Schizosaccharomyces pombe: one gene and its partner. The gene in region 2 interacts genetically with the main gene of each other region. Each region holds a gene or a part of one and is shown on either strand. Other genes may lie near its edges.

Region 1 (3,592 bases), 1.4 Mb from region 2:
CTGTTGAGAGCAGTAGAAATGGAACAGATTGGATAAATGAGATAAATTGTAATAACGTGAATATTTATTTATTTACATAATGAATGCAGTTGGGAAATTAAAGAAAGTGATGCTTTAACGCAGACACTTCTTTTGCATCATGATACACGGATTGTGGTATAAATAACTGAAAGAAAAAAAGAGACATTCTACTGTTTACAAATAAAATCAACAGCATACCACAGTTGCTCCAACCAGAGCTTTTTAAAAAAAAAAACCAAATTAATAGCTTAAGATCTTTTTTTCAGTTTGCCAAATGAAATTATAAATCTGTACATTTAGAAAGAAGAACATTTTTTATGTTTTAGGTAACTGACGAGAATAGGCAATCTGGCAATAGTTCAAGAAATCAAATCAAATACATCGAAGAAGTAAGTGGAGATGTAGCAAGCGCAAAGTCATACTTCAAAGAAGTTTATAAGCATCGTAAAGTTATTTTCTTTTCACATTTCATAAAGACAAATATTTTGAAAACCCGGCGAGGAAATTCGAAATAATAATAGATAAAGGTCATAACAAAGAAAACGTCTGTGCAAAAAAATAATAAGGACAGAAATTTGAAAAGAATTCCATATGCATCGGTAATTCAACACTTAAAAACGCCCGACTGTCATCTAGGAGAGAACATTAGGCTAAAATAGGAGCCATAAATCTACATGCAACATCACATTAAAATCAATTGCTTTATTGTAAAGGGGGGTAATGAAAACAAATGTTCTTTTTCAGATGGGCCCACCAAGGGATCTAGGAAGCCCGGCTGCTGAGAACATATGTTGCTGGACATCATCGGAATTAGGCTGCTGAGAAGAAGGGGGCATTTGAGGGTGTTGATTTGGAGGGAGACCCTGCAATGATGGATGCATTTGAGTAGGGCTAACGGAAACCACAGATTCAAGCATGTTATCACCAGGAGGGGGTTGTACCGGCCGGTAAGCCATATGTTGAGAGTGGAGAGCATTGTGAGCAGTTTGAAAGTCTGTTAGGACAGAACGAATCTTTACACTACACTGACAACCCTGATGGGCAAGTAATTGGCTTTTCAGCCGAAAAGCCTCCTGTTGCAACTGAGACAGCAATAACTGAAGACGCTTGGATTGCTCAAAGGCAGCATTGGCAGTTTGCTCTAATTCTTTAATCCACTCTTTCTTTTTCTGGCGAAATTTAGAAGCGGCAATGCGATTGCGCTCCAGAATTCGGCGACGCTTTTCATCATCAACTTCTTTTTTTTTGGCAGTCATCTTAAATAATCAATGTATAGAAAAGGGGGAATCAGATGATCACAAACAAAAATATAACAAAGGAAACAAAGGGGGAGATGGGAAATTGAAATGAAAAAAAAAGTAAGAACGAAAAAAGAAATACCCTAAAGGATATATTTTAATTTAAAGGAAACTCCTACTTGGTGAATACAACACGCAGTAAAGAATTAGCACGACACACGCGCGAAATCAGGAGGAAGCAAATTAGACGGAGATAGCCAGTTTCTAAAGGAATACAGAAGAATGACAAGACGTCAAGAAACGTCAATTCTATAGAAGCGCTAGTCTTCTAAGATTAAAAACACACACGTGGGGGAATTAATTCGTAAGTAAACCGACCCCTAAAATTTTTTGTAATCTCACGACACACGTCAAATGTACAGCGCACACGTTGACCCAAAATTAACTAACAAAGGAGATCCCAAACGACTTCAATAAATACGTTGATATGTTATACTCTCTGAAAAGTTATACAAACACTTGATTTGCAAGGATGTCTCACCAAACTACCAAATTAACTGTTTAATGACCCAGAAAAAGCGAATCCACTGTGAAAACCGAATAAATTAAGAAAATTTAGTATTTAAAAATCAAATTTTAACAACTCTGTAGAATGAAAGGATTTTACCCTTTTACAATGGTATAAGCTACAATGGACCATAGACGGAAGTGGTCAAAGAGATGATTATATAGGATGATCAATGCTCGATGCATGATGTCATCGACAAGGAGGCTGTAATTATATCGATAAACAGAATAACGAGAGTTAGTGAAATTTAATACATGGCCGATTTTGATGTAAATAAAGGTTAGTGGACTTGCGAAGAAAGACAGACACAATTGAGAAAATAAAAAGAAAAATATTTTAAAAAAAAGAAACAATACTAAAGAAAATTGACTTGCAAATGAATTGTGAGAGACGTGGATACAAAAGACGAAAAAGCATCGGTGAATTTAAAAGAACCAAAAATGAGGCGAACAATTTTAATTTGGTTGATGGAAATGAATCATTTGATTAAAAGTGAAAATTTTTAAATTATTTTAGAAATGTAAATATTTTATCCTTGTGCGAACGTAAAATTGGTAAAATAAATTTTAAAGATTTTAAATAATTAAAAAACTCTAGCAAAAATATAGTCAATTCCAAAGTAACTGCATTTTAATTCGTTTTATTATTAAAACAGGAGGTTCAGGTACTGCACTTAATATAAATATATTAATTGAATTGTGTTTTTTTGGAATTTGTATAATTAATTATTTTCCAATACCACTAACCTAAAAATTTCGCATCTTCACTTTATACTGTACTTCATTATTTTTATTATCATCTCACATGTATTCTTCACTATTTAATAAACAATAAAAGAATATGAGAAATTGCAATGAGTGAATAAAGAAAAGACAATTAATATCGGATTCTTCATTCGTTAACAAGGAAGAAAGACTTAATCTATAGCACCGAAATATTAAACCGTTTCCATTAGCTTGATGTAGAAGTCGATCTAATGTTTCGCAAACCGAAAATACACAGACATGAATATGTACAAGCATTAACCAAGCATACAGAAAATCGAAAATCATCTAATACATGAATAATGAGAGCTTTATTACTTCGTCTCGCTTTCATATTCTAAAATACTTAATTATTTGCTTCTAACAAATAACGCTTTTTACCGTACTCTAGGAATTACTTGCAACAGATTTCTTCCTTGCATATTTTTAATCATTTGATTTATCTCTTCGACTTGATGATTTTATCACATTATTTCTGTATATCATACAGTTGTTTCCTGTTGTATATCAAGATGGCATCTTGATGAGTTTGAGTGATGATAATTTATCTATGTGTTTGTCGCTTAAATTATCTACTCCACATGGCTATAAAATCCCTTTAATTTTGTTCATAATCCATATCCCAACATGAAGGATCCAAATACTATTCCTCCATGGAGATGTACTGATTTTAATGCTTGGTGCATAGCCGTTGATAAATCTACAAACGTTAAGAACAAAGAAGAATTACTCAGTACCTTGACTTATTTCATCAACTATGAAATAGAGATGGGACAGACTTATCCAATCGACATTAAAATGACTCGCAATGAAGCGGAAGACTTTTTTTTTAAATTTTGTACTGTAATCTGTGTTCCTGTTGAGAGTGAGACATCACCTGCTCCAGATTTGGCTACGGCTTCAATTGACTGGAAAACGAGCTTACTCGGTGCCTTCTACATTAAGCCTAACTATCCCGGTCGATGCTCTCATATTTGTAATGGTGGATTTTTGGTTTCACC
Region 2 (4,184 bases):
TCCTTGAACATGTCAACCTTGTTGTTATTTTCAGCTTCTTTTTGATCAAACATTCCCAAGAAATGATCAATGATAGACGATATGCTAGGAAGCTGTTGAATTAGTCTTCTAAGCAATGCTGACTTAAAACAAGAGTATGAATTTTTCGAGAAAGCAGATGCGGCTTTATAAAAACCCTTCAAAACATGGAACATTTCAGACGGAGTGCACTACTGTAAGAAAATGAAACAGAAAAATAACTTACCCTTTGATAGTAGATTCTGGACAGACCCTTTTCGAGATCGGGCAATCTATACAGCATTTTACGAATTGCTTGAACTTGACTATTAGAATTAAAGGCTAATTCCTCAACCGCGTCCAGACGCTCGATTATATTTTCTTTATCAACCAAAGGCTTTTGAAGCCATCTCTGAAGCATCCTTTGTCCAAATCTTGTGTATGTGCGATCTAACACCCAAAATAGGCTACCAACAGGTGTATGATCTGTTTGATTAACGAAAAGCTCAAGACCTTCCAAAGCCTGTTTACTTAAAACCATAGAAGAAATGCTATCAAAAGGTTGATAAAAGTTTGAAGCAACGAATAGATCTTCCAATGAGAATTCCATCAAATAAGAAATGGCCATGTCCAAACAAATGATTGAAAGAGAATGTAAAGACTTCACCTTTTCCATGTGTAATTCTATAATTTTGCTACCGGACATGATGCATTTAGAAGAAAAGAAGTCCTGCAAATTCTCCAATGCTAGTTTCACGTCCTGCTGAACAGCATGTTGCACACGCACTACTCTACCGCAAGTTTTTTCAGTTGATACGTAATGATTCAGTAGGGCAACCGATTCGGAAGATAACTTGTTCGAATATATCAATTCACAAGGTTGAAAATGAGAAAGTCTTGTTTGTAATTCGCTTCTCAAAAAATCATCTTGAAAATGATCATAAACAGTAGTTCCAGATGATAATTGTATGGCAATTAGTCCAACCTGAACTCTTCCTGATTTTGCTTTGCTCTTATCAACATTATCTGCAACACATAGGATAAATTGGGAAGCTTGTAGTGTACCATGCTGTGTTTGCTCAAAGCGAAAAAAGCTATCATCTAGAGTAGTCCCCTTGGTAAGCACGCGAGCAACTCGTCTGTCAAACAGAGTGTTTCTGCTAGAGCTAGTTGACTTGAGAGCGGCTGTTTCAGTTTGTCGAACAACAGCAACTTTGAGACCAAAATTAATGAGTCTTTCCAAGTGATAGTCAATACGATACGAGGGAACACTAGCATTTAAAAAATTGTGCTCAAAATAGCAACTAATTCCTAACACCTCAGAGGCTATTTTTGCATCCTTCCCAAAAAATCGGAACTTATATCCTACTTCAATTGCCAAAATAGTTTCTTGATAATTTTTCTTCAATTCTAAGTATTGCTGCTCAAGTGGTGTGAAAACAGATTTCTGTTTAGTAGGTTTCGATGCTTTTCTTTGCACTAATTCTTTATTTGAAGTAGATTTAACCGTACGAATTCTCCTCTTTCGTTTTATGCTTATAAGAGGCGCGTTCTCATCAATCGAAGAACTTCCCTCATCTTCTTGATAGCTATTTTTTGAACTACCAACATTATTTTCTAGTAACTCTATGGCTGGACCACTGAGGGCAACCATATCTTCTGATATTGCTCCTTCATGTAAATTATCTGATAGAATATTAATAGCGTCGCATTCATGAGTAATGTTATAACTCATTCCTCTCATGTAATAAAGCGAAAATAAAAACTGTACAATCAAATTTGCTCAACATAGATTTGTAACGCATTTATAGTTTCTAAATGAATATAGGCGGACGTTTTAAAAAATACAACAAAACGGTAACAAGTAAGTATCGTTCTCCTCTAAATTACAGTAGATTCCATTTATGTTAAACTTAGCTTGTAGTTTTCATTATGGGCGGTTCCCACATATAAAACAAATTTTTGGTGGAGTGGCCACGCACCTTCTGCCAGTAGTGCATTGAAGCGGCAAAATGTCATTTTACGACGAAATCGAGTTAGAAGATTTCACGTTTGGTATGTATTTGTTAAAAGTTGAATACTTTTGCTAATTAAAAGACGCCGGTACGAACTTGTACACTTTTCCCTGTCCTTGTGGGGATCGCTTCGAGATATCTTTGGTATGTATTGATACGCAATTTCTTAATATTTTGGAAGTTTATACTAATTCATTATTTAGGAAGATCTTCAATTAGGGGAAGATGTTGCTCGTTGCCCAAGCTGCAGCTTGATTGTCCGGGTGATCTATGATGAAGATGAATTCATGGAAGTTGATAACGATGCTTCTACAGCACCTATAATCATTGCAGCATAATTTTTCCCTATAATTTCTTATTTGGTTTTTTACTTCTATTTATTCTCAAAATGTCTTGAAATTACGAAGGATAGGAGGGCTACTCTTTACATCGTGATATCCTCAAAATTTATTTGTTTAGTTTTCTCAGATCACTGGTTTTGTATTGGCATAGTACGTTTGTTGTTCATTCTATTAATAATTAAACTGTATCTTTTTAGTTGAATTTGTAAGTTTTTAACAACACTTTAGGCAAGTTTTTTGAGCGTACGACTTTTCCAAAGATTATTTTGCCCATATAATACAGTTTACTTATAAAATAATTTCTATTACCACTAGCTTCCGTAAGCATGCGCACCTCAACGGTAACTTTCTTTCTTCAAAATTAAAATGAACAACGCCTCTGCAAAACATTAAGGGAAGAATGGAAGAAAATTTAAAGAGAACTTCATTAGGAAATAACAATCTTTACTCGAAACTAAAAGCCCACCTTTAGCTATTTTTGTTAAGTGATAAATTATTGCATTTCTGCGTATGTTTTAACAACGCATAATTTTAAAACACTTTACGAAACGAGTTTAAGTTTATAAAATAGCTTTATAACTTATTCTTTCAAAAAAACGTTTTCATTATTACAAATAATGGATAAATGCTATTCAATTTATTCTTCGTTTCAAGATTGTGGAATTAAAATGAATTCGTACTTGTGCTCAACGTAAGTACGTATTGAAGTCCAAGTTGCGATCAATTCCACAGAATTTTGAAATTTCATTGCTAAAGCATTTGAAACTTATCAGTTGAACTAAAAGCCAGCTACTTAACAGTATTTCCATCAATTTACTTATAAAGCAATATCATTCCAGCTTTAGTGCGACATACCACAGTGGAATCTCAAATTTATTTAGAAGCTTAAAAGGGAATTTAAACATTACGCAAATGTAAGCTACGCAGTTTGGTATCTAATTTAAGGATACGTAGAACTGCGGTGAGTTTTCCTTGTGATCTATTATATTACAATACACAGGTTGTATAAGTAGCAACTGAGTATAGGTATTGTATTAACTGGGTTATAATGTTACCTATCACTAATATAGCTCATAACTGAACTGAGGAACGAGGTTCAGCAGTAGCTCTATTTATAGTATTCAGATAATATTGATCTTAATAGATTATCATTAAGATCAATCTCCATATCGTATCATACATGGTACGATATATAATTAGAACATGTGACATATAGTGATACTCAACGTAGTGTATCATAGCGTAGTGTAGTATTGCTGACAGCAAACTTAATTAACGAACTTTTTATAATATGTTATTGCATATAGCACGACGCTATCTCATATGCCAGAGCCAAAGAAACAGTCACATTTTCGTATATCTAACATGTGGCCTACAATACATTTTTACCACTGCCAAGATGCGTGATAAATGGAGGAAAAAACGCGTGCGTCGTCTCAAACGTAAAAGAAGAAAGATGAGAGCCAGATCGTAAGTCTAATATAACTGAAATTTTTTGTATTTTTTGCTAACTGAGAAATAGTAAATAGATAGGCTCATCCATTTGCGCCCTCACTAAGGAGCAATGAGTAAATTGCAATACCTTTGAAATAACTAGCTCAATTTGGCTTGCAAAGGACGCAGAACATTTACTCAAATAAAATTTCACTTTATCAACCAATTATATATATATATATTTATCATGCGTACAAGAGTAGTAATGTTTGTTTTGCAGCATGTTTATTTTGTTCTCGAATTATTAAATAGATACCCTAATGGTGTTATCTCGTCTGTAAGCATAAAGTATTTTAGTATGGGACTTAGTGGATAGTGTCATTTATGAACGGTTCGG

Evidence for each region. Genes that interact genetically often act in the same process or in processes that back each other up.
Region 1: of dph3 (region 2) and pcr1, a mutation in one rescues a mutant of the other (synthetic rescue), as found in Schizosaccharomyces pombe (one study listed by BioGRID).

What each region holds. Positions count from the first base shown.
Region 1 is NC_003424.3:4,251,642-4,255,233, forward strand, and holds pcr1 (DNA-binding transcription factor Pcr1), read right to left. Parts: upstream 1,960-3,592; 5' UTR 1,278-1,959; coding exon 762-1,277; 3' UTR 501-761; downstream 1-500. Other genes in the region: L-azetidine-2-carboxylic acid acetyltransferase Aca1, read left to right, coding at 3,219-3,592. UniProt on the Schizosaccharomyces pombe protein: Involved in regulation of gene expression for sexual development. Binds and activates CRE sites (cAMP-response elements, also known as M26 meiotic recombination hotspots).
Region 2 is NC_003424.3:2,853,488-2,857,671, reverse strand, and holds dph3 (diphthamide biosynthesis protein Dph3), read left to right. Parts: upstream 1-1,977; 5' UTR 1,978-2,009; coding exon 2,010-2,052; intron 2,053-2,094; coding exon 2,095-2,156; intron 2,157-2,215; coding exon 2,216-2,350; 3' UTR 2,351-2,503; intron 2,504-2,581; 3' UTR 2,582-3,267; downstream 3,268-4,184. Other genes in the region: msh3 (DNA mismatch repair protein), read right to left, coding at 1-209, 245-1,741; rpl4102 (60S ribosomal protein eL41), read left to right, coding at 3,753-3,823, 3,876-3,882.